Linked DNA regions of Lonchura striata. The protein of the gene in region 1 interacts with the protein of each later gene in a pairwise test. Links are inferred from orthologs where the notes say so. Each region holds a gene or a part of one and is shown on either strand. Other genes may lie near its edges.

Evidence for each region. The genes of interacting proteins can lie anywhere in the genome.
Region 2: the proteins of THAP1 (region 1) and METTL13 interact in binary tests that used the Homo sapiens proteins (3 or more experiments, as listed by UniProt). The two-hybrid records come from large-scale screens. The link is inferred for Lonchura striata from reciprocal best matches to the Homo sapiens genes THAP1 and METTL13.
Region 3: the proteins of THAP1 (region 1) and TCEA2 interact in binary tests that used the Homo sapiens proteins (3 or more experiments, as listed by UniProt). The two-hybrid records come from large-scale screens. The link is inferred for Lonchura striata from reciprocal best matches to the Homo sapiens genes THAP1 and TCEA2.

The regions. Positions count from the first base shown.
Region 1 is NC_134642.1:4,505,065-4,513,193, forward strand, and holds the start of THAP1 (THAP domain-containing protein 1), read right to left. Parts: upstream 3,192-8,129; 5' UTR 3,090-3,191; coding exon 3,019-3,089; intron 2,363-3,018; coding exon 2,167-2,362; intron 1-2,166. Other genes in the region: transcription factor Jun, read left to right, coding at 7,182-8,129. UniProt on the Homo sapiens protein: DNA-binding transcription regulator that regulates endothelial cell proliferation and G1/S cell-cycle progression.
Region 2 is NC_134611.1:599,879-607,346, reverse strand, and holds the start of METTL13 (eEF1A lysine and N-terminal methyltransferase), read left to right. Parts: upstream 1-4,348; 5' UTR 4,349-4,393; coding exon 4,394-4,546; intron 4,547-5,315; coding exon 5,316-6,063; intron 6,064-6,722; coding exon 6,723-6,922; intron 6,923-7,468. Other genes in the region: ITPA (inosine triphosphate pyrophosphatase), read left to right, coding at 591-653, 734-791, 919-983, 1,508-1,581, 2,191-2,222, 2,804-2,919, 3,401-3,477, 3,732-3,852. UniProt on the Homo sapiens protein: Dual methyltransferase that catalyzes methylation of elongation factor 1-alpha (EEF1A1 and EEF1A2) at two different positions, and is therefore involved in the regulation of mRNA translation.
Region 3 is NC_134619.1:6,781,125-6,789,216, forward strand, and holds the start of TCEA2 (transcription elongation factor A protein 2), read right to left. Parts: upstream 3,121-8,092; 5' UTR 3,002-3,120; coding exon 2,933-3,001; intron 2,335-2,932; exon of another isoform or gene 2,112-2,334; intron 532-2,111; coding exon 469-531; intron 1-468. UniProt on the Homo sapiens protein: Necessary for efficient RNA polymerase II transcription elongation past template-encoded arresting sites.

The sequences.
Region 1 (8,129 bases):
ATAAAAAAACTGCTGCTGTTAGCCTACCTAATTCACATATCAATATTCTAAAGAATTGAATATTCTAAAGAGCTTGACCCTATCAGCAGTCACTATCAAATTTTTCTACTAAAAAAACCCTACGAGGCAAAGGTAGAGCTAGCAAAAATAAATTCATTCTTGCTAGAAACAAAAGGAAAAATCAGATCACTGCTGGACTGCTGAATTCACAGAGACTTCTATTTGAAGCTATAGTGTATATGCTACCTCTATATACAAATTATTATGGTCACAATGTATCACAGAGAACAGAGATCTTTGGTAACTCTATGACATCAGCAGTGACTTCTAATTATTTATTCTAGACAATAAGTACTTCTCCTAAGACATAAGTAAAGAAAAATAAAGTATACCAAATTACACAGAGTGACTGTATTTCAAAATCCATGTAGATTCAACTCCAAAACAATCACAATTATTCTTTGCTATTACAATGTTACTTGAAGATTTATGGCAGTTTGTTCAAAAGTGCCATGAGACAAATAAAAATAGAAATAAATCCTTCAGAATTAAAAGGCACTCATTCTTCTGTGTTTTTGTAGATCCAGGTATGACAGTAAAACTGGAAATGTGTCTCACAACTAATCCTGCTGCACCAACAGTGCTTTTGCAGACTACCCTATACACCCATTCAGCTTTCAGACTAAAAAAAATTGCAAGTATTCTACACACAACAAAGAAAATGTGTATTTCACAGATAAGTAAGGAAGTGCAATCAAACAAAAACACAACTGTATTTTCCTGTAAGTTGTCTGTCTCCTTGTTTACATTCTGTTTATATTCTTATCTGTTATTAGCCACTTTTCATTTTTCAAATGTGTAGCCTTTTTATTTCTGCAACATTCCAACATGTTACATAAAGAGAAAAATTGAACAAGAAAAATCTGAGTTTTACTCTGTGCACTTCATCCCATTTAAGTCTTTTGCTCCCCAAACCTACTCTATCTACGACTGTCTCCTTTGCCACTTTCTCTATGGCAGAGCAGAAAGAGATGAAATGTTTTATATCCTTTAAAGGAGTTAAAAATCAGTCTTTTCCATTCTTGTCTTGAAGTCATTACATCAAGGAGAACTCATAAGTGACCTGCATCTCACAGTAAATTGTTCTAGTGGCACAGTGAAGGGAAGAACACCTCACACAGAAGCCTCTACCCTCAGAAGTCAGGGACAAGTATGGCTTTTGAAAACAATGTTAAGGCAAGACAGAGGTGCTCTCAGGACAAACAGATAGCAGGTGCAGGTAAGGTTCTGTCGCTCACTTTTACTTTGCAAAGCCAAAGCACAGCCCTCTGGTTAAGTTTCACAGTTAACATCCACCATGTCTTCAATGGTTAGGGTTAGGGGAAGAGAGCAAGTGCCATTTGCAAGCATTAATGATGGCTCTCAGACCCTGAATATGCAGGAATTACTGTGGAATAGTTTGACTACAGGGCAACACCTTCTTACTTTGCTGCCATTCCATTTAATTCAGCACATGGATGCTGAATAAACAGACACACGAGCAGGTCAGAGCCAGTGTCTGCCTGTACAACAGTTTGTGATCCAAAGCCTCAGAGAGCCTCAGAGAAAACAAGCACGCTATTGGAGGTGTTTTCAGTCACCACAGCCCTGCTGGTGACCCCAGGCCCAGCATCTTGCCAGCCTCCATCCTTTTCCAGCCTACATCTCTCCCTGCTCGCTGCCCTGCCACGCTGCAACCAATGACATACACAATATGTCCTAGCACCTGCAGGCATGGGTCCTTTGGGTTTACCTTTTTGTGGGATTCTTTAAAGTCTGAGGGTTTTAGGCACATTGTAAAAGGTAGGTAAAAAGAGACAGCAGGATGGTGATTTAGAGGTAAGCAGTAGCTATAAGATTTGTCAGCAGAAAAATTATACAAGAAGTAGAAAGGACAAATATAACTACGGTCTGTGTATTAACGCTTGGGTAGAATAACTCCTGTAGAAAAGTATATCTGCTGAGATATTAGGAAGCTGTAAGCTTAATAATGGAGCTCTGTGTATTGTATCCCCATTGTCAAAACCATGTAATAAGACTGATATGAAAAAATAAACAGCCTGAGACACGTTCCTCAGCGGTCCCGTCCCGTCCGTGATTTGTACATAGCCCCCCAGCCAGCGATACCTTTTCACCGGGTTCAGTGTAACAGAATATTGTGGGCACTGCATTCTCTTTTAGGAGCTTGTTATTGCATTCCCTCTTAAAGCAATCGGGGGTAAAATGTTCTGAGCAAATGCTGCTGTACTTGGTCGGCTTGAAGTTTTTCCTCTTAACAGCAGCTTCCCACTTCTTGCAAAGATCGGGTCTCGTAAGAGGAAACCTGCAAGCAAGAGGCACTTTCAGCTTTTCTGGAAAGCTTGATAAACGAAGCCAAAAATCTTCCTGCCCCTCATCGGGGTGAGGAGGGAACGGGGTTTCATTGCTCGCTGTCGCTCTGCAACAGGCGGCTCCGAGGGTCCCGTCCCTCCGGCTTTCCCCAGGGGAGATTCCGGGGCGGGGGGCAAGGCACCCCAGCCTCAGGGGCAGCGAGGGGACACGTCCCCCTGTCTGTCTGTGCCCGATCTGTCCCCCTGTCTGTCTGTGCCCGGTCTGTCCCCCTGTCTGTCTGTGCCCGGTCTGTCCCCTTGTCTGTTTGTGCCCGGTCTGTCCCCATGTCTGTCTGTGCCCGGTCTGTCCCCCTGTCTGTCTGTGCCCGGTCTGTCCCCCTGTCTGTCTGTGCCCGGTCTGTCCCCCTGTCTGTCTGTGCCCGGTCTGTCCCCCTGTCTGTCTGTGCCCGGTCTGTCCCCTGTCTGTCTGTGCCCGGTCTGTCCCCCTGTCTGTCTGTGCCCGGTCTGTCCCCCTGTCCCTCAGCCCGACCGTGAGGCGCGCCCGCCCGCGCGCGCTCCCTCACGGCTCCCCGCCACCCTCGCGCGCGCGGCCCCGCGCTGGCCCCGCCCCTCCCCGGCGCGACCCCGCCCCGGCGCCGCGCGCGCTCACTTGTGGAAGGAGATGGGCTTCTCTTTGTCGTATCGGTTCCGGCAGCGGTAGGCGGAACAGGACTGCACCATCCCGCCCAACCCCGCGCCCTCCGCGGCGCGGCCCCTCCGCGGGGATGGACGAGCCGGCGGGGCGCTGCGAACTCACCGCAGGGCGCCCATGCTCCCCCCGCCTCCCGCGGACCCCCCCCCCCCCCACGCCCGTGGCCCTCCGGAGAGGGACGGGAACGGGACGCGCGGCCTCTCCCGACTCCAAGATGGCGGCGCCAGCTTCAACGGAACCTCTCGCGGTAGCCGCGCGCGCCGCGCTCCGCCCATTGGGCGCGCCGGCGCGCGGGGCGGGGCGGGGGCCTCGCTCGGCGGGCTCGCCAATCCGGCCGCCTCCTCACGCCGCTCCGCCCCCGTCTGGGGCCGCGCTCCGCCCCCGCCCCGCACCCGCCGCGGGGCGGGACCCTCCGCTCCACACCCACAGCTGGGCAGGGCCCTCCGCTCCACACACGGAGCAGAGCGCCGCGGCTCTACACACACCCACAGCTGGGCAGGGCCCTCCGCTCCACACACGGAGCAGAGCGCCGCCACTCCGCTCCACACCCGCAGCTGGGCAGGGCCATTCGCTCCACACACACCCACAGCAGAGCAGCGCCCTCCGCTCCACACACGGAGCAGAGCGCCGCCGCTCCGCTCCACAAGCTGGGCAGCGCTCCACACACACCCGCAGCTGAGCACGGCCCTCCGCTTCACGCACACAGCTGGGCAGAGCCCTCCTCTTGACGTACACAGCAAAGCACCACCGCTCCGCTCCACACCCACAGCTGGGCACGGCGCTCCGCTCCACAGGCTGAGCAGCGCCCTCCGCTCCACACCCACAGCTGGGCAGTGCCACTCACACCCCGCACCCACAGCTGGGCAGTGCCACCCACAGCTGGGCAGTGCCACCCACACTCCGCACCCACAGCTGGACAGTGCCACTCACACCCCGCACCCACAACTGGGCAGTGCCACCCACAGCTGGGCAGTGCCACCCACACCCCGCACCCACAGCTGGGCAGTGCCACCCACACTCCGCACCCACAGCTGGACAGTGCTACCCACACCCCGCACCCACAGCTGGGCAGTGCCACCCACAGCTGGGCAGTGCTACCCACACCCCGCACCCACAGCTGGACAGTGCCACCCACACCCCGCACCCACAGCTGGACAGTGCCACCCACAGCTGGGCAGTGCTACCCACACCCCGCACCCACAGCTGGACAGTGCCACCCACACCCCGCACCCACAGCTGGACAGTGCCACCCACAGCTGGACAGTGCTACCCACACCCCGCACCCACAGCTGGGCAGTGCCACCCACAGCTGGACAGTGCCACCCACAGCTGGGCAGTGCCACCCACAGCTGGGCAGTGCTACCCACACCCTGCACCCACAGCTGGGCAGCGCCGTCCGCCCCATCCGGCACCATCTGGGGAGCGCCTCTCCGCGCCCCATCCGCAGCAGGGCAGCGCCTCCGGCCCCGCCAGGCACAGCCCCGGGGCCGAGGGCTGCGCTGCGGCCGTCCCTTCCCTCAAGGCCGCTCCGGCCGCGCCGTGCCCACAGTGGTGGCCGGGGATGGCTGCCCCAGCGCTGTGAGCCCCGCGGGAGGTTCTGGCTTCCTTCGGGGAGAAGAATAAAAAATTTATAAAAAGGAGGGGCGGTGGAAAGGCAAAAGCAAACAACGGGAAGACCACGTTGCTATAACACACAGTTGCATTAAGGTCGTGTAAAACAACTCCGTGTCACTCGCCTAAACGTAGTGTGCAGGTGCATCAGCAGACAGTAGATAGATGTCTCAACAAATCCATTTGTTGTTACAAATAGGTTTATTTTGAGCAGTTTCAACATGTTACCATTCTGTGGGCTCACTTTTGAACTCTGCATTCGATCAACAACTAAAACTGTCCTACATAAGTGACAGTTTTTGTATAGGAATGACGAAGGAACCTACCTTTAGGATCACCCCAGTCAAGTGTAATGGTATATTCTAGAAATTCACTGACAATAACCCCAGACCTAAATTAACCTCCATGGCTTTTTCTCTGACCCCACTCAGCCTACTTTCCCCGTCTACACTTGCTTTGTGAGGGAAAGAAAATAAGGTTTATTTGCCTTGGCTTGGAGTCTGTGGCTTCTCTGCCTAGACAGCTCTCTTTGCCCAGCTGATGGAAGGGACCAGTCACTGCCACTTGCTTGCCTAGGAATATGACAGAAAAGCCTGTACAGCAGCTTAATCTATACTTCCACAAAGTCACTCACATGAGATGTTTTCAGTACTCTGTTGGCTGAGCACTGTTAGCTCTGCTGCCTCTTTTGCTAGGTCAGCCAAGAGACAAGGAAACCAAAATAAGCTCTTTCTAGCACTACCTTCCTCACCAAGAAAAACATGCTTACTCCTCCCCTACCCATGTGAATGCCTCTGTCCCTGGCCTGTGCCTGATGGCTTTCTTCTCCCTCTGTTGCCAGTTTTCTGGGCAGCAATTCTGCCACAGCCTCAAGAACCAGAAGAGCTGGGCTTTGTCCCATGGCAAAATGAGCTAGGGGTGACCAGAACCAGGCTCACCAGCCTGGACAGAGTCCTGCAGCACGAGAGCACGGCAGGCACGAATGGACACACCCACACACGGTGAGGTGATGAACCAGGTCCACCCAGGTAATTCAGGTAGGAGCAGCAGGAGATGGTACCAGGAACAGAACTGGAAACACAGGTCCAAGGTTCACCCAGGAGATGAAGCAGAAGAGGGTGACACCTGTGACACAGCCAGGCAGGGACTGAAGGTGCTGGACAGTGTTGAAAAGGAGCTCTTGCACCCATACGTAAGAATTGGCAGCCCCAAAGTACTTGCTTGAGTCAAGGTCATCAAAGCCTCAGTGCACCTAGACTCCAGTTCTGTGGACTTGAAGAGGGATTATGAGTCAAAGTCCTGGACTTGATACCACTGTCCATCTCCTCCTCCACTGCTGGTTTTGGAATGAACTTTAGGAACAGGGGGGCAAAGCATGGCCATACAGATCGTGCTAAAAGCAGAACTTAGCAACTTCTCTAGACACTGTGAGAAGAGGCACATGGTCTTGATATGTAGGAAGGAAATGCCTGGGGAGAAAGCATGAAAGCATGAGTAGGTTGCAGAAGGTGACACCTAACTGAGGGGGTCCATCACAGATGAGAAGGTCTTGTGAATGTGTAGATAAGCCACTGAGACCATCAGTCACCAAGCTGATTTTAAAGACTTAAAGCAGAGCTTTCAGCAGCTCTGTCAGGATCACATTGGTGTCCTGAAGCAAAACGGATTTAGAAAAGACTGCGTAGAAAGAAATTTCCTTATCCCATAAGAATTTGAAAAACTTGGGGAAAGGCAGAGGCAATTGTCTTGAATAAAATAACAAATAAATACAACCTCCAAACTGAAAAATGCTATTCACATTTCAGTAATTTTGAAAATGTTGGAAATATGTCTAGGATGTTTCAAATTCTTTTTCTTAATTTTTTTTTTTTTCCCAGGGAAAAAAGGCCACATCAAATCATCAAATTCATGGCCTTCATCTTCTGAGTGACTTTTAGTTTGACTAGTTGGAGTTTTTCATGATGGCCAAGCACTTCCCGTCAGACTTCCCAGCACTGTGTTGTTGAGAATCACTAGTCCTCGACACCTGCACTATCCTGTGCCCATCCATCACAGACGGAACGCACCGGCACCTGCCCCAGCAGCCGCCACGCGATGCCCTTGCTCGCTTTCCTCCTGAGAATTCCCGGTCCTCGGGCCGGACTAATGGCCCCGAGAAGACTCCCCCGTTCACGGAGGAAGGCCCCAGCAGCGCCTTGTTCCCCACACCGCAGCCGCGGGGCGAGTTTCCGAGGGGGAGGAGCAGCGCGGGCTCCCCACGGACACCCACCGGGAAGCCGTTCCGCGCACGCCCGGCGGGCGGGGGAAGGAGCGGGCGGGGGGGACCGGCGGCGGCAGCAGGGAGGCGGCGACGGCGGGGCGGGCAGCGGGCCCGGGGCGTGGCGCGGTCCGGCGGCGCCGGGAGGCGGCTCAGTCCCCGCTGCCAGCCGAGGGCGGCCGGCCCCGCGGAGCAGCCGCCCAGCCCGGCCCGCCCCGCGCCGGAGCCGCCGCCGGCCGGCGAGGGCGGCAGCATGAGCGGCGGGCGTAGCGGGCGATCCGCCGTGAAGATGGAGGCGCCGTTTTACCCCGAGGAAGGACTGGAGCTGCTGCCCGACTTCGTGCCGCTGCCGGGTTTCGGTACCGCCGGCGGACCCGGAGCCGATGCGGCCGCCGGGCAGAAGCTGCTGCTGGGCGCCGGCAAGAAGCGGGACCTGCCGGCTGCCGCCCCCGCGCCGCTCCCGGGGCCCTTCGCCCTTCGCCCGCCTGCCGGCGCCCGCGGCAGCGCGGCGGCTCTGCGCTTGCTGCCGCCGCCGCCCGCCGCCGCCGCCGCCCCGCCGCCGACCGCGGGCTCCGCGGAGACCGGGAGCGCCGGCGGGGCGGCGGCGGCCCGGGGCGGCCCGGAGGCCGCGCTGGGGTCGGCTGCGGAGCTGCCGCTGCTGAAGCTGCCGCCGGCCGCCGACCTGGAGCAGCTGCTGATCCAGGGGGGTGCGGGGCTGGGCGCGGGCAGCCCAGGGCCGACGGCACCCGGGGCGGGGAGCGGCGGGGCGGCGGCGCCGGGGCCGTTCCTCTACCGGCAGCCGGTGACGCAGGAACAGGAGGGTTTCGCCGACGGCTTCGTCAAGGCCCTGGCCGATCTGCACAAGCAGAACCAGCTGCTGGCGGCGCCACCGCCGCTCTCCGCGCCGGGACCCTGCTGCACCGCCCGCCCGGGGCCGCCGGGAGCCCCCGCCGCTGCCGCCGCCGACCCTCCGGCCGTCTACACCAACCTGAGCGGCTTCAACCCCGCGGGGCCGCTGAGCCCCTCGGGCAGCGCCTACCCCTCCGCCTCCGCCCCGCCGCCGCCGGGCCTGGCCTTCGGGGCGGCGGGTCTGGGGAGCGGCCGGCTGCCGGCGCGGGCCCTGGAGGAGCCGCAGACGGTGCCCGAGGTGCCGCCGTCGGCGGGCGGGGAGGGCGGCAGCAGCGCGCCGACGCCGCCGTCG
Region 2 (7,468 bases), on another chromosome or scaffold:
CTGGCCCCGCAGACAGAACTCCTGACTCGAGCCTGGAGATTCTGCTGCAGCTGCTCCTGTGTTTACCTGAGATGCAGGGCAGGGAAAGCCGCACAAGCCAACCATCAGTGCACTGCCCCGAGCTGCTAGAACTGGGTGTTGATCAGTTTGAGGTTCAAGTCACTCAGTGCTGGGGTTGTCCTGGGCACAGACATTCCCAAGGGACAGCTCTGGCTGTGAGGCACCACCAGCACCAAACCACCAACGACGGGTCGCTCGGACGCGGGAAATGGGATGACAGAAAGTGCAGAGACGCGGCTGAGGTCGGAGCTGATCAGCAGCAGGGCTTGCAGCACGGTCCCCCTGCGATTCCCCAGGAGGAGCGGCGCGGGCTCCGCCGGCCGGGCTGTGAGGGGCGCGGGCCGGGCGGGGCCGGTTGCCATGGCGACCCGGGCCGGCAGTTCCCGCCTGTCTGGCGTGGGCGGACGCCCTCCCCATTGGTCGGACGCTGCGGGGCGGGCACGCTTCCCGTTGGCCGAGCGCTGCGGGGCGCGGCGGCGGCGCGGGCGCTGATTGGTGGGCGGGCGCGCAGGGCCGCGCGCGCGGTCAGCATGGCGGCGCCGGCGCGGCGGAGCGTCGTGTTCGTGACCGGCAACGCCAAGAAACTGGAGGAGGTGAGCGCGGCGGGAGCGGGCCTGGCCGGCGGGCCCGCCTCTCTCCCTCCCTCCCTCGCCACTCCCTTCTCCCTGCGCAGGTCACGCAGATCCTCGGGGACTCCTCTCCCTACACGCTGGTGGCGAAGAAAATCGACCGTAAGTTGTGGGCAGGGCCTGGCGGGATGCGGCGGCCCGGCCCGGCCCGGCCCGGCCCGGCCCGGCCCGGCCCGGCCCGGCCCGGCCCGGCCGTGTGCTCAGCACCGCCCCATCCCCGTGTCCGCAGTGCCCGAGTACCAGGGGGAGCCAGACGAGATCTCGGTGCAGAAGTGCCGCGAAGCCGCCCGGCAGGTCACTCGCTCCTTCCCCTTTCCCGGCGGGATGGGTGTGCAGGGACCCCAGGCAGGGAAACTGAGGCATCCCAACCGGCCCGTCCTGGCCTCGCTGCTCTCCCGCCACCCGGCTGCTCTGGTTTGTGCTGGTGTGTCCCTCTAGCAGCGGGAGGTCACGGAACCTCCTTCAGTCCAGGCCCGCTGGCTGCAGGACAAAGAGTTCTGTCTGCTGAACATTCCAGAGCTGGCTCTGGGATGGGTACCCTGCAGGCATGCCTCTGGAACACAGACTTTCCCTTTCCTCGTCCTCTAGGATGTTAGGGAGCGTTCAGCTCTGCTTGTTTTTCTCCATGGGAAACCTTCCCTACTGTTCTTCAGCCTCTCTGGCCTGCCTGGGGGAGTTTGGGTTTGATTGTCTGTCTGGTGTGTGCTGCCTTTGAGGTCAAGTGGAAACACGAGGATGGGCCAGAGCAAGGGAATGGGTTTGGAGGCAGTGCCTTCCTTTAGGTCTAATGTTTTCCTTCTCTTGGGCTGTCACTGTAGGTTCAGGGGCCTGTTATAGTAGAGGACACCTGCTTGTGCTTCAATGCCCTGGGGGGCCTCCCAGGACCCTACATGTAAGTGGCTGTTTCCCCTTTCATATGCCAGGGTTAGGAGCACAGGCTGGCAGGGTTGGCCTCACACTCCAGGAGCAGTGGGGTCAGGGAGGTGATTGCTGTTTCCTGCCCTTCATCCTGCACCCCAGGGGCTGCACTGAGCTCCTTAAGCTCTGTGGGAAGTTATGGAGCAGGAATAGAGAGATAGACCTGGGCTGCTGGCTCTGGTTTCCAATCTGTGGTGCCTGCTCTAGCAGCTTGGGAACCTGTCCAAAGAGCAGGCTCTGTGCAGTAAAGGCACCAAGCCTTTCAGCAGGACTCTGCCATGAGTGCCCCACAGGTTCTCCTAAGGATAGCTTTAATCCAGAAGAAAACAAAGTTATTATGTATTTATATACATAATAACTAAGATACAGTAAATTAAATACCCCACTGCTGTTTTCACTGTGTCCCCTTCAGCTTAAGAGGTAAGTCTGTCCTTCCTGGTAAGTGCTCTAGAATGAGTGATCCTACAGCACACTGAGAGGGATTCAAAGGCCTATGAAAATGTAAGCAACAATGTCACAAGGATGCCTGTATTTCTGAGAGATAATAGCAAAAATTGTTCTTCCCTCCTCCCTTCCTTTTCAGAAAATGGTTCCTGGAGAAACTCAAGCCAGAAGGTACTGCCCTCATGTTACTACTCTGTGTGTAACCCACTCCTGTGCCCCTGAAGTGGCTCCCTACCCATGCTGGGAGAGCCAGCAGGTTCCTCGAGCCTGTTCTGTACCCTCCTTCCTGGGATGTTGTTTTTCTCAGTAGTTCTATCCCTGGATTCCCAGGCTCCTGCTGCAGCCTGGTGGCAGGGCTCATGGGAACATCTCGTTTGTGCTCAGTGTGACTTGGAAGATCTCCTGCTCCCTGTGGCTTCAGGGCAAGCCTCTCTCCAATAATGCTCCCCTTCCCTGCTGTGCCTTGATCCCACAGTTCAAATCCTTTGCTGGTCTCATTAACATGAGTACTAATCACCTTCGGGCACCAGGGGCTTTAGCTGTGCTGGGTTGCTTCCTCTCCCAAATTCATAGCGGGGCTCTGGAGATGGGACCTGAGGCTCTGGCTTCAGTCACAGCAGGGATGCTGGTGCCTGAGCTCTGTCACCTCCCGCGGTGGTTGGGAATGCCACGTAGAACACCTCCGTGCCTGGGTGGCTGTGCTGTGCTCCTGGGGAGCAGCAGGGACTCCAGGCTCCCCTCTGTGTCCCCAGGCCTGTACAAGCTGCTGGCTGGCTTTGAGGACAAGTCTGCCTACGCGCTCTGCACCTTCGCCTTCAGCAGCGGGAACCCGGAGGAGCCAGTGAGGCTCTTCAAAGGCCAGACCCATGTAGGTGCTGTGTGCTGGGGAGGAGGGCCCTGCTGGGACTTGGGTGGCAGCACTGGCTCTGTTGAGGACACTCGTGGTGGCCTCTGGGTCACTGAATGTTGGGAGCAGGCTTAGGGGGAGCGCAGCTGGTGGGTGGGGGTGCTGAGGGTGCAGCCCTCTGTTCAGTGGTGCTCACTGAACTCTGCACGTTACCCCAGTCTCCTCAGCCCCATCTCCCCCTTACAGGGCTGTATTCAGGTACAGTTCTTAGCTCTGTTATTTGGAGAGGTCAGAGCACTGTCAACATAAGGCAGCGTGAGTTTGGAGCTGCTGATGCTGGCCACATGCTGGGGAGGGGACAGCTCCCTGCAGGGCCTGTGGTGGCTGCACTGTGAGCTATGGCAGCGTGTCTCTGTCTGTGCTGCACGGGAAGTGCAGTCTTTAAGGGTTTTTTGTGCTTTTTGGTGTTCTTTTAAAGTTTTTCTGTGCTTTCTCATGGCAGGGACTGATAGTGGAGCCCAGGGGCCCTCGGGATTTTGGCTGGGATCCCTGCTTTCAGCCAAATGGCTACAACCAGACGTAAGTGATGTTTTACCTACAGCTCTTTGCGTAAGGCCAGCCTTGGTCAAGGGTGTCCAGGGGAACTTGCTTGTAAGGAAGGGCATCAGGGAGAAATGTCCTCCTGGATGGGAGCAGGGTGGGTGATGGGAAACCCCCAGTTCAGGGCTTGTGTCACTACCAATGCCTTGCTGAGCCAAGCAGGGAGGCAGAGGGGAGCTCCAGGGATATGCTGTAGTGTCTCTGCTGCTGACACTTGCTTCTGTCCCCTGCAGCTACGCTGAAATGCCCAAGGCAATGAAGAATTCCATCTCACACCGGTACAAGGCGCTGAGTGAGCTCTCAGCCTTCTTTCTTCAGAGCGCCTCGCCAGAGCCGCGCCCCACTCCCAGCTAGCGCCCGAGCCGCGGGCTCACACAACCGCACGGAACTCCTGGGTCCAGAGGACCTCTGGAGATCTCCCAGTCCAAGCCCTGCCAAGGCAGGTGCTGTGCATGTCACACGCAGCGCCGGCAGAGACTCCCGCCGCTGCGGGATGCCATTAAAGCTGCTCCTTTTGAACGCACCGCTGCCTCGCTCTCCGCTCTTTTTGTTGCTTCAGCAGAAACCCGCGGGTGTGCGCTGTTAAAGCTTCGCCCTTGTGATGCGGGAGCGGCTTCGGAGCGGAGCCGGCACCGGCACCGGGCGGGGGCGCGCCGGGGCCGCTGCGCGCTGGAGCGCGGAGCAGCGCCGGGGCAGCGGCAGCCAATGGGGAGCGGCCGGCGCAGCGGCAGCCAATGGGGAGCGGCCGGGGCGGACCCACTGGCCAATGGGGAGCGGCTGAGGAGGAGTCAGCCAATGAGCGGCGGGCGCGCCGCGCAGCCGGAAGCGGTCAGCGCGGCGGACACGTGGGGCCGCGGCGGGAGCGGGGCCCGGCCCGGCCCGGCCCGGCCCGGCCATGGAGCTGCTGCCCCGCAGCCCCGCCGAGTTCGGCTCCGCACGCTACTGGGATCGCTTCTTCCGCCAGCGCGGGCAGCGGCCCTTCGAGTGGTACGGGGCCTTCCCGGAGCTCTGCCCCGTTCTGCACAAGTATGTGCGGCCCCGCGACAAGGTGAGCCCCGGCTGGTACCCAGCGCTGTGTCCCCTCCGGGCTCCGCCTGCGCGGCGAGCTCTGAGGTTGTTTTGCCTGTAGAAGAGGAGGCTCAGGACTGACCTTATCGCTCTCTACAACTCCCTGAACGGAGGTTGTAGCCAGCTGGGGGTTGGCTTCTCCTCCCAGGCAACCAGCAACACGATAAAAGAACACAGTCTTGAGCTGCGCCAGGGCAGGTTTAGGGTGGACATTTGGAGGATTAATTTCTTCAGAGAAAGGGCGCTTAGACATTGGAATGGACTGCCTAGAGGGAGGTGATGGAGTCACCGTCCCTGGAGATGTTTAAGGAGAAGTGGGACATGGCACTCAGTGCTGTGCTCTGGTTGGCATGGTGGTGTTTGGTCATAGCCTGGCCTCCATGTTCTTAGATGTCTTTTCCAGTGGTTGGTTCTAGTTGGTTCTGTGTGCGAGGTCTGACACAGATGATATGAAGCCCCCATTGTGCCTTAGCAAGAGGATAGGAGAGACCTCTAGGTGGCCCTGGTCTGGGCAGCTCTGGGGGTTAAAGCACCAACATCCTTCTCAAAAAAAATGCAGCAGATGCATCACTTCTCTGCCCACGGGACTGTTCTCTGTGGATATGTTATCTTAGGCCATGGAGAGTGAGTTTGCAGGCCCTGAAGGTGCGGTTTTCACAGACACGTCTGATATTTGCTCCTAAAATGGTGGTGGGAGGAGTATTTCCAGGGTGTTATCACCATCACGCTGCTCTTGTGCTGCTGCCCAGGTTCTCGTGGTGGGCTGTGGGAACTCGGAGCTCAGTGAGCAGATGTACGACATGGGGATGTGCCAGGACATCGTCAACATCGACGTCAGCGACGCCGTGATCCGTCAGATGCGGGAGCGCAGCGCGAGCACCAGGCCGAGGATGAGCTACCTGCTGATGGACATGCTCCAGATGGACTTCCCTGATGGCCACTTCCAAGCGGTCCTGGACAAAGGCACGCTGGATGCCCTCCTGACCGATGAGGAAGAGGCCACTTTAGCCAAGGTAGACCAGATGTTTGCTGAGATCAGCCGGGTCCTGCAGGTAGGAGGGCGCTACCTCTGCGTCTCCTTGGCTCAAGCCCACGTGCTGAAGAAAGCTGTGGAATACTTCTCCCAGGAAGGCTGGGTGGTGCGTGTCCACCAGGTGGCCAGCAGTGGGGACCAGCAGCAGTTTGTCCTGCCGGTCTTTGTGTATGTGATGACAAAGTTCAGGAAGATGCCTGGCTCGGCAGCACGGATCCTGGAGATCTGCCCTGAGGAGCAGGACAAGCCGATGCGGGTGGAGAGCGTGGAGCGGCTGGTGGCAGCGGTGAAGGACAGGCAGCATTATGCCCTGCTCTGCAGCCAGATCAGCAAAACCCCCTGCAGGGAGCAGGTTTCCTTGGATCTGTGTGACAGAGAGAGTGGGAAGCCCCGCTACACGCTGCACGTGGTGGACAGCCCCTCGGTGAAACCTTCCCGGGACAATCACTTTGCCATCTTCATCAGTGAGTACAGCCTGTCCAGGCTGCAGTCAGGTTCTTGCCCTGGCCATGAGCTGCCAAACAGCCAGCCCTTTAGGGCCTGTTGAATGTGGGGCTGGAGAGAGAAATTACCCACCTGCGTGGGATTGGGGTGATGTTTTAGTCCTGGTTTTGCCATGGGATTTGTACTTGCCTGGTGGTGCAAGCAGAGGTGTGGCACAGAGCTTGTTGGGCAGAGGGACCCTGCCCAGCCTCCAAGGTGGTGGTTCCTGCCTGGATGCTGGTGACAGCCAAGTTAGCTCCTTGCGGCTGGGAAGCCATCGCTGCTCTCTGTGGGTGTCCTGGCTTGCAGGGCCAGACCCCTGGGGCTGCACTCACAGACATGTGTCGGCCTCTGCCAGCAGCACCATTCCCTCCCTGCATCCCTGCAAACCTGGGCCTTGGCAGAACCTGGAGACAGCTCAGGAGCTTGTTGGACCCCCCCCCCCACTTCTAATGAGATGTGGCTTTTTCAGCTTCTTGCATGAGCCTGCCCAAAACGGGGGAAATCCTGGCTCTTTTGAAGGTCACAGTGCACGGCTCTAACCAAGCAGTGCTACCTCCCTTAAATGTCCTGCCATTCCCTGTGGCAGGAAGGCTCGAGGGCCAGGAGCAGCCCAGGCTGATGGCAGCCCCTTCTGCAGTTCCACAGGGCAGGGAGACCGAGTGGCTCTTTGGGACGGAGGAAGGGCGGAGGCAGCTGGCAGCCAGCGCGGGCTTCGGGCGCCTGCTGACGGTGGCCCTGCACAGGGAGCAGCACTACGAGGGCATGGCCGCCATCCAGGCAGAGCTCTCGGGGAAGGTGATGGAGCTGGCCCCGCCGGGCCTCCCTGCCCGGCAGCAGGTGAGCCCCCACTGCCTGGCCCCTTCCCCAAAACAGAGCCAGGCTGGCTCTCTGCCAGTAGGGAAACCCTCTTCTCCAAGGGAGACCAAGCTACAAGGCTGGATGCCTTGGTGGGCAGGAGATGGGCCTCAGGTGCAGCTTCTCATGGCTTTCCCTCCAGCTCTCTGTCTGTGCTTGGAGGCAGGATTTGAGGTTCTTGTGTGGTAGGATTCAGTATGAAGTCCTTGCTCTCCAAAACCCAGCATGCTGAGAAAAGCGGAGATCTAGAAATCCTAAGAGCATCCAGCCCCCTGTCTTAATTAACTTCTGTTCCTTCTGTTTTCTCCTTCCTGCCCGAACAACACACATCTGAGTTCTTGCAAAAAAACCTTGCTGTGTTTGCTCCCCTGTGTTCACTGTGGGAGTGAATCTAGTGAAGATCCCCAGCTCTCCTGTGGCATCCCACTGCTCCTCTTGTGTCTGCTTCATCCTGGCCCTGTAGCCATATTCAGGACAGTGGGAATGCCAAGCTCTTTTCCTGTAGCTTTTCCTTGCTCCCAGCAGCCC
Region 3 (8,092 bases), on another chromosome or scaffold:
TTGGAAGAGCAAGGTGACACTCTCCAGCTTGCACAGCTGAACAGAAGACACGTCCAATCTCCCACAAATCCCTTCCCTACACACTTGTGACATTCAAGCTTAGAGTGAAAAACTCCAAACCGCATCACAGACTCCAAATTGTAATTCTGCTCACTCCTCCCCAAAGTTCTAAATATCAACATTACAAAGAACTTCTCCCACGACTGCCCTCTGTGTTTGCTACTTTAACCCAGTCTTTCCTCTTTTTGCAGCCTACAAACAAGATTTGAGCAATTACACACAGTGACCCAGAGCTCTTGAACTGCCAGTCCAAAACCTAACTTCTGCACTATTTTGTTGGATTTAATGTTTATTTTTACTCTTTGCATGAGGCGAGAAGTCTGATGAAATCTATTAAGTTTATTTAGAGAACATTTTGAACTCATCTGGATGTAAACTTAAGCTTGTTACCATAACTGTGCAACTCACCTGCAGTAAATCCAAAGTCATAGGCATACTTTTCAGTTCTTTCAGTAAATCCATTGCACCTTCCTGGAGAGGAAAAGAGAAAGAATGAGTGCCTCAGCTTTTATTAAAGGAATTTTATTGGGAATAGACAAAGAAAGTTGAATTCAAAGGGAAAACCACCAAATGTTCCCTGAAACATCAGCAAGTGCACTGCTGGGTGCTGTTCCAGACAATAGATCCTGCAACTTGAAGGCACCTGAATCATTGGAATGGGCAAAACAGAAGACCACTGAAGTGCTACAGGTCCTTGTTTGTGTATGGTGCAAGTGCAGCACCTGTTTATTATTCTTACCTGGCACGCTAAACATTTTTAATACCTGAAAAACACATTCTGAATTACAACTGTCAGTGATTCCATGTAGCTATTTCCTAGTTTTCATATTAATACCCGATTCTGCTCAGGAGAAAAGCTGAGACCAGGAGCAAAGGCAGCAAGCTGTGATGCTGACAGGTTGGTCACTTGACACTTGCTCTGTGAAGTCTCCTTACATCATCTCTACATCCTCGAACCAGGAAAAATCTGATGGGGAATCTGTAGACACCTAAAACTGGCAGTCACTCAGAGAACTGGAAATCACTTGTCTCCCTCTAGCACATCCCAGCCTGGCATGGGCCTGTCTCCATTCAGCTGGCTCTTTCTGCCCAACCCCCATCCCTCACACAAGGCTTCCAGTGTTCATTTTTAGCAGCTCATTTACAACGCCGACCACTCCAAGCCCAGTTGCAGCACAAGGCCTGCACAGCCACCATTGTAGGGAAGTGAAGTGTCTGCACTGCCAGCCCTGTCCTCACATCCCGTCCTCCCTACACAGAAGGGCTGCTTCCAACTCATCCCAGGAAGCAATCCAGCTGTAATTCACCCTACAGAACAGATGCCCAAATCAAAGCAGAGTCAAAGCTTTCAGCGTGCACACAATCAACTCACACCAGCATAAACCACACACATTTACCAAACCCAGAAGGACTGACTTCCACCGCAGGCAGTTTCACACCTTCCCATTCCTCCAGCCCTGAACACCCGAAGTGACCCGGTGTGACTCCAAGTGGAGCCACTCAGCACAACGGCAGCAAATGAGGATCCACGGAAAAACTAGAGCAACAAACTCTGGGAAACTGTCCTGCAGGAAGAGCTCTAAGATTAGCCAAAACAGAACATGCTGTAGTTCAGCACTATCTCAAACGCCAGCCAAGAGGAAATGTCGCATACCCCTCCTGTAAGAAGCTGCCTCTTTCCCAATGTAGCTGGAAGCAAATTCTACAAAGTTGCTCCTTTCCTATTTCAACACTGATGCTGAAAACCTGCCACGAGCAAGAACAGACATCACAGGCTCTTCTTTAGCCCAAACACACTTCTCTGGCCTGTTCCAACAGCGACACAAGTGACAGTGCTTGCTCTACCCACGGCTGGCAGGGTCAGTCCAACAACCAAAAGTTCCTGTGATTACACCAGCATAAATGATAACTGTGATGTACCCAGCATCCTAACACAGAATACCACATTCCTCTAATGCCTCCTCTTCCTCACCCATCATCTCCCACTCCCCACAGCCCTTCCCAACCCCAAAATCCCTCACCCCCACCCCAGACACAGATGTACAGCCTACCTCCTTCACAAACCCTTGTCAGCTTTCTGCCTTAGCACTTGCATGACACCGTGTTTCTACTGATATATCCCACTAAGCCGGAAAATACCGGCTCCTGTCCTCCCAGGCTGTCACAGGGGTCACAGCACACCCTGCGAGACTCCCGGAGTGCAGACAGCAGCTTGGCCAGCCCTCCACACTCCAGGGGCCACGGCAGCGAGCAGCAGTGCTGGTGTGGGATGCAGATGCAGGGAGCAAATCCATCAGCACCGGGGCTATCCCCGGGGGCAGACCGGGGCCCCAGGCCGGTGCTGGTGGGGACTCCCCTCCCAAAGGCTCCCAAGGGGCAGGGGAGAAGGGCTGGGGATGCTCTCCAGGAGGAGGGCAGGCAGCACAGGGTGAGCCCCGCAGTGCTGAGATGCGGGCTGGGGATGCCGCAGGCCTGGGGTGGGGGGCTCAGCATGGGGACTGGAGGCTCCCACAGCACCCAAGGGGGCACACAGGGCTGCCCGCTCAATATCTGGCAGTGGGTGGATGCCACACCTCCGCAAAGGATGGGGAAAGGAAAAAGCGACGGGGCCTGGGGGAGGGAACCCCACTTTAAAGGGGGAGCGTGTGCTCCAGCACGATGTAAGGACCGGGGCGGCGCTGAATGAGAGGCTCCCAAAATGGGGTCTGGGGAGGGGGACGCCCCTGACAACGGCACCGAGGAGGGGGTGCCCCAGCGCGGCAGCGAGGAGGGGATCCTGCGGAAAGGAGGGGGCGCGTCCGCCAGACAAGAGCGGGCAGGGGGCGGCCCCCCGCGCCAACCGGGCTGCGGGGGCCCTGCCGCCGCCACTCACCGCGTTCTTCTTGGCCACCATCTTGTCCAGACGCCTGGCAATGCGCACGATCTCGTCCTCCCCGCCCATCGCGCCGCTCCCCGGGATCGGCGCCGGGGCCGGACGGGGGTCCGGGCGGGGGGAGCAGCGCTCGGTGCCCGGTGCCCACCTCAGCCCCCGGTGCCGCAGTCAGGGCGGGCGCACGCGGGGCACGATGGGAGTTGTAGTCCTCGGGACTCCAGCTCCACCCGCCGCCTGCCGGAGCGCGGCTCACGGGCGGGACTTCATCTCCCAGCGCGCCCCGCGGCCGTCTCTCGCGGCGCCGCCCGGCCGCCGGGGGCGCTGTGGGGGCCCCGCGGAGGGGCTCGGAGCGGAGCCGCGGTGAGGGACCCCCGGTCCCGGGCGGGGGCTGTGCCACGGCAGGCAGGAACTGCCGCGTCCCAAAATGCTGCAGCGGGGCGGAGGAGGCCACGGAGATAATGAGCACTCTGCAGTGCAGACAGGCTGGGAGCTGCGGGGTTCAGCCTGGAGAAGAGAATGCTCCGGGCAGAGCTTTAAAGCCCCTTCCAGTGCCTAAAGGGGCTCCAAGAGAGATGGAGAGACTTTGGACAAGGGCCTGCAGTGACAGAGCGAGGGGGAACGGCTTCACACTGACTGAGGGCAGGGTCAGATGGGGTATTGGAAAGCAATTCTTCCCTGTGAGGGTGGTGTCAGCACTGGCACAGGGTGCCCTGAGAAGCTGCCCCTGGATCCCTGGAAGTTTCATGGATGGCGCTTGGAGCAGCCTGTGATAGTGGAAGGTGTCCCTGCCCACGGCAGGGGGTTGGAACAAGATGAGCTTTACAGGCTCCTTCCACCCCAAACCATTCTGTGGCTGCGACTGTTGTCCGTGGCTGTGCTGAGCCCTCGGAGCAGTGCTGGATAAACTGCTGGATAAATGCTCCCTGGATAAACTGAGGCTGTGCCCCTCATACGGCCTTGGGGACTGGACAGCAGTCAGCAGTGGCGAGAGGATGGGTTTTTTGGGGGGGCCGGGCTAGAGCCCCTGTAGATGGCACTCGCACACTGTGCGAGGGCAGCGCATCCCCCGGGAGATGCTGCCGAGCGCTGTCGCTCCCTCCAGCTGGTTCCTGGCAGAGGGAGAACTCCCATGCACAGCCCTCGCCAAGCGCCGATGTTTCAGAGAGGGCCCTGACTGTGCTGGTGGAGAGCGGCCGTGTCCTGCCCCGATGGAGCTGCAGATCATGTGGAAGCACAGGGATATGCTACGTGTGGCCTCAGGATGCACAGTCAGGTCTTGGGAACCAGAATTCCCAGTGCTCGTCTCCAACTGCACTCTGTCCTGGGGCGAGGCTGAGTCACTGAGGGCATAATCTCAGAATCACAGAATCCCAGCATTAGTAGGGCTCAAGGGCTTGGAGATCATCCAGCCACCCTTCAAAGTCAGAGTCATCTAAACCAGGTGACACAGGAACTTGTCCAGATGAGTTTTGAATACCTCCAGAGAGAGAAGCATTGAACACATCAGTGCTAAAGCTCTGATGGGTGGCTGATCCCCAAATCTGTGCACTAGCAAGCTGCCTGCTTGCTGTTCTTTATAGCAATACCATGGAGATTTATAAAAATACCACGGAGCTCTGGGATACCCTTTAGCAAGAGCTGCACCCTGGATGTGTGAGACACATGGCAGTTCATCCCTAAAGCAGCAAAGGTGGTCCCAGACCAAAAGTGAGCACTGGACCCTCTCCCTAGCATGACACCTTGAAACTTCTTTGCTTGGCCGTGTGTTTGCGAACACAAGTTCCCTCCACCCCACAGTCTGGAGCCTGTGCAGCACCTGGAAATCCTCCAGCCCTTGGCAGGGTCTGGCTGTGGAGTCAGGAGGTGCCATTTTGGTGAGGCCCACCTCTGTTAGAGAGGAGGAAACAAGTCCCAACAAGGGGACCTTCTGGAAATGAGCAGCTGCCTGTCCCGTGTGTGGGGTCGGGTCACGCCGGTCCTTGGCGTCAGAGACACGCTCAAGCAGCACTGCTGCCACTGGGAGTGTGGCTTGTGCTGCTGCAACGCAGAGATGGTTCCTGACCACAAGTATGGCCGGGGACGTGTCTCAGATTCCAGAGCACACAGTCACTGATGCCAAGCACCATCACCCCGTCACTCCCTGCCTCAAGCAGGAGCCATCTCCCTGCCAGCGCTGGCCTCCTGCAGTGGCAACCAGCCTCACCCAGGGCCCACCACTGCCTGGCAGCAAGTCCCCAAGGGACAGAATGGCACGAAATCTTCACGCCTGCAGCTCTGTGTGCCTGCTGGGCATGTCCACTGCCCCTGTGTGCCCCTGGGCACGGGCCAGCTCTGCAGCCCAAGCCTGCCAGCTTGTGGCTCTGCTCTTCCCAAGGGTTAACAGGACACAACAGGCCAGGCGCTTGCAGGACAGGGAGGGTTTCTGGCTGACCTTGGCTGGGAAGCAGCGGTGGCGTCGCTCAGCCCTGCCCCCCAAGCGTGGAGCCGGTGGCCAGAGCTCTCCCCAAGCCTGGGTGGAGGTAGATCCAGAGGAAACTCCACCTCCGCGGGAGCTAACCTGCTATTGCAGGAATTCCCAGAGAAATTCCCGCTTGGGGTGATCTGTCAACGGATCCATGAACTTTCTTTTACCTCTTGTGAAAGCAGCTACTTGAATGTGCTAAAAACAGAGCAGGGGCGAGTCCATCAGGGAGAGTCTGGGAGGGGGCTTTTGCTGACCCCTGCACACCAAGAGACTCCCTGAAAGTCTCCGTTGGTGGTGCCTCGCTGGCAGCTGCCCTTGGCAGGCAGATCTGGGAGAGCCAGGAGAAGTTTCCTGCAAAATAAAACCCCACAAAATCTCACCTGCTTTTTCCACTGGGCTACTGTATTTCCCATGCGACTCTCAGCAGATTTGAACGCAGCGAATGGGCTGGATCAAGTTGCTTCCACTATCCCCAGTAAGTTCAAGTCATTTGGAGATCAGCCATCAAACCCCACCCTTTCTCTGCTCCCAACCACCAGAGGCTTGGTCCACTTTTGGAAAAAGCAGAGATGAGAGGCACTCCTGGGCCTGCCTTGTCTATCCACCCACCATAAAACCCACAGGGAAGCTCTGTCCTGAGACACACCCTAACCTCAGGGGTGCTCAGATCTCCAGGACCTCAGCAGGTCACTGTTTGGAGGATTGGCTGTCCTGGGTGACACACTGGGCTCTGAGCTGGTAATGAGTGATCCTATCCAGACAGCAACAGACAATCAGTAGCTGGGAGACACTGAGGCAGAAGATGGGAGCAGCTGCCATAGGCTTTGCCAGAGCACCACTTATTTTGGGGAGAGGTTTTGATGTGCCTCCCTCTCCTTTTCACCCTCAGCCTGCCTTGGCTGGAGGGCTCCTGATTAATCCTCTAACCATGCACTTGTGCCAGCCCTGGAATGGAGGCAGGGATCTGCCTTTTCTTCCCCTCCTTGCTGGAGCTGTCTGATGTCCTTAATCTCCTAGCCCTGGCACTGGGGACATTTGACCCTAGAGCAGTCAAATCCTCCATTCAAACACTTAGGAAACCTGGAGAATGTGGCATGAATGGTGACTTCCATTTCTGTTTATGGACCATCCTGTTTTCTCTTCTGAGGAGCCAAGGGTCCTCTCCACACCTCCTCTTGTGGCACAGGCCCTCCTAACACAACAGAAAGCATCATGGTTCCCAGGAGATATTTTAGATCCATCCATGCCATTCTGGAAGAGCAGCCCACAGGGGCTCCATGTCCTCCACTTCTTACATCCCCCCACTGCATCTGTCCTCGAGCTGCAGGTGAGGTGCCTGGGGACACTGCCATCTGGACCTCCTGGGACAAGTCCTACACCAGGAAAAGCTGCAGGATTTAGCTACAGTGGGCAGCAGCTGCAAGGGGAACATGGCCAGGACCACCCTGTGTGTTAGCCCAGCCTCTGCCACCCTGAGAAACGGGGAGCATGGAAGGGAGGATGCAGAGGAGATGATGGCTCCCATGGGCCCTGCTCATCGTGAGTGCCAGGGTGGAGTTTGGACCTCCAGCTTTGCAGATGCTCTTCTGAGACATTTTGGATTTTCCCTAAACCTCTTTCTCCTAACAATTTTAATTATACTGGCTGCTGTTCAAAACAATAATGACAGGGAGAGGAATAAATGCTAAGCAGCAGCCTGTCACGCTTCATGAGATACCCCTGGGGGACACTGGGCCAGACAAGCAGCCAGCCCAGAGACATGCCAGCCAAGGGGGTACAGGCTGCCACCCCACATCAGCCACCAGCAGTTTCTGGGGTCTAGGCTGGACTGTGTGAGCGTGAGACCTTGTGCAGGCATTCAGGTCTCCTTTCTCTCCCCCTCTCTGTCTCCTTTTATTCACCTCCATAAAACATAGGAAGTTCAAGCTATTCATTTTGCTATTTGTGTCTCCTTCCCCACGCCCCGGTTCCCTCCCTTGCCCCCTGCAGCCTCTCCTCTCACTGCTTGCCCAGCATCCTTGACCCTGAGAAGTCTGATGTGTATGCACTTCCCTTTTGGCCCATGGAAAGCACCACTCTGAACTGGTGCCTTGATAAGTCTGCTGTGGGAAGGCAGGGGCTCCTGGGCTCCCACACAGGGCTTTCCCATGTAGCATTTCCTATGCTGTCCCTGCTCACCCATGCGATCTGCAGATCTGGGCAGTGGGAAGCTCTCTGGATGGCAGTGCCCCTCCGTGGCAGCAGGTTTGACCTCCTCGGCATCTCGTGACTTGCTCTGTGTCAAAAGCCACAGTGGAGGCATCCTCCTGAGGGGGAGGAGGAGGAGGAGAAAAATGGTTGACTTCTCATGGGGTAACACGGCACCACTCAGTTCAGCCACAGCAAAGGATTGCAAAGGGCTCTAACACCCCAGCCCCTTCCTCTCAGTGCAAGCAGAGCTCTGATACTGTCTCCCCCAGCGTTTGGGATCAACGGGACCTGTGTCCTGTCAGCACAGCAGCCAGCATGCGGCAGAGCACACAGGATTTGGGTCAAGACCTCCGAGGGGCTGGAGACAGGGGCTGAGTGACAGAGAAGGAGGAAGGAGAGGCTCAGCGAGGAGGGCTGGGGCCTTTTCTCTGACATAAGCTCAGCAGCTCAGCCGTGGCTTGCCGGAGGGCAAAGGCAGCGCGTTCCCTCACTGCCCGCATCGAGCA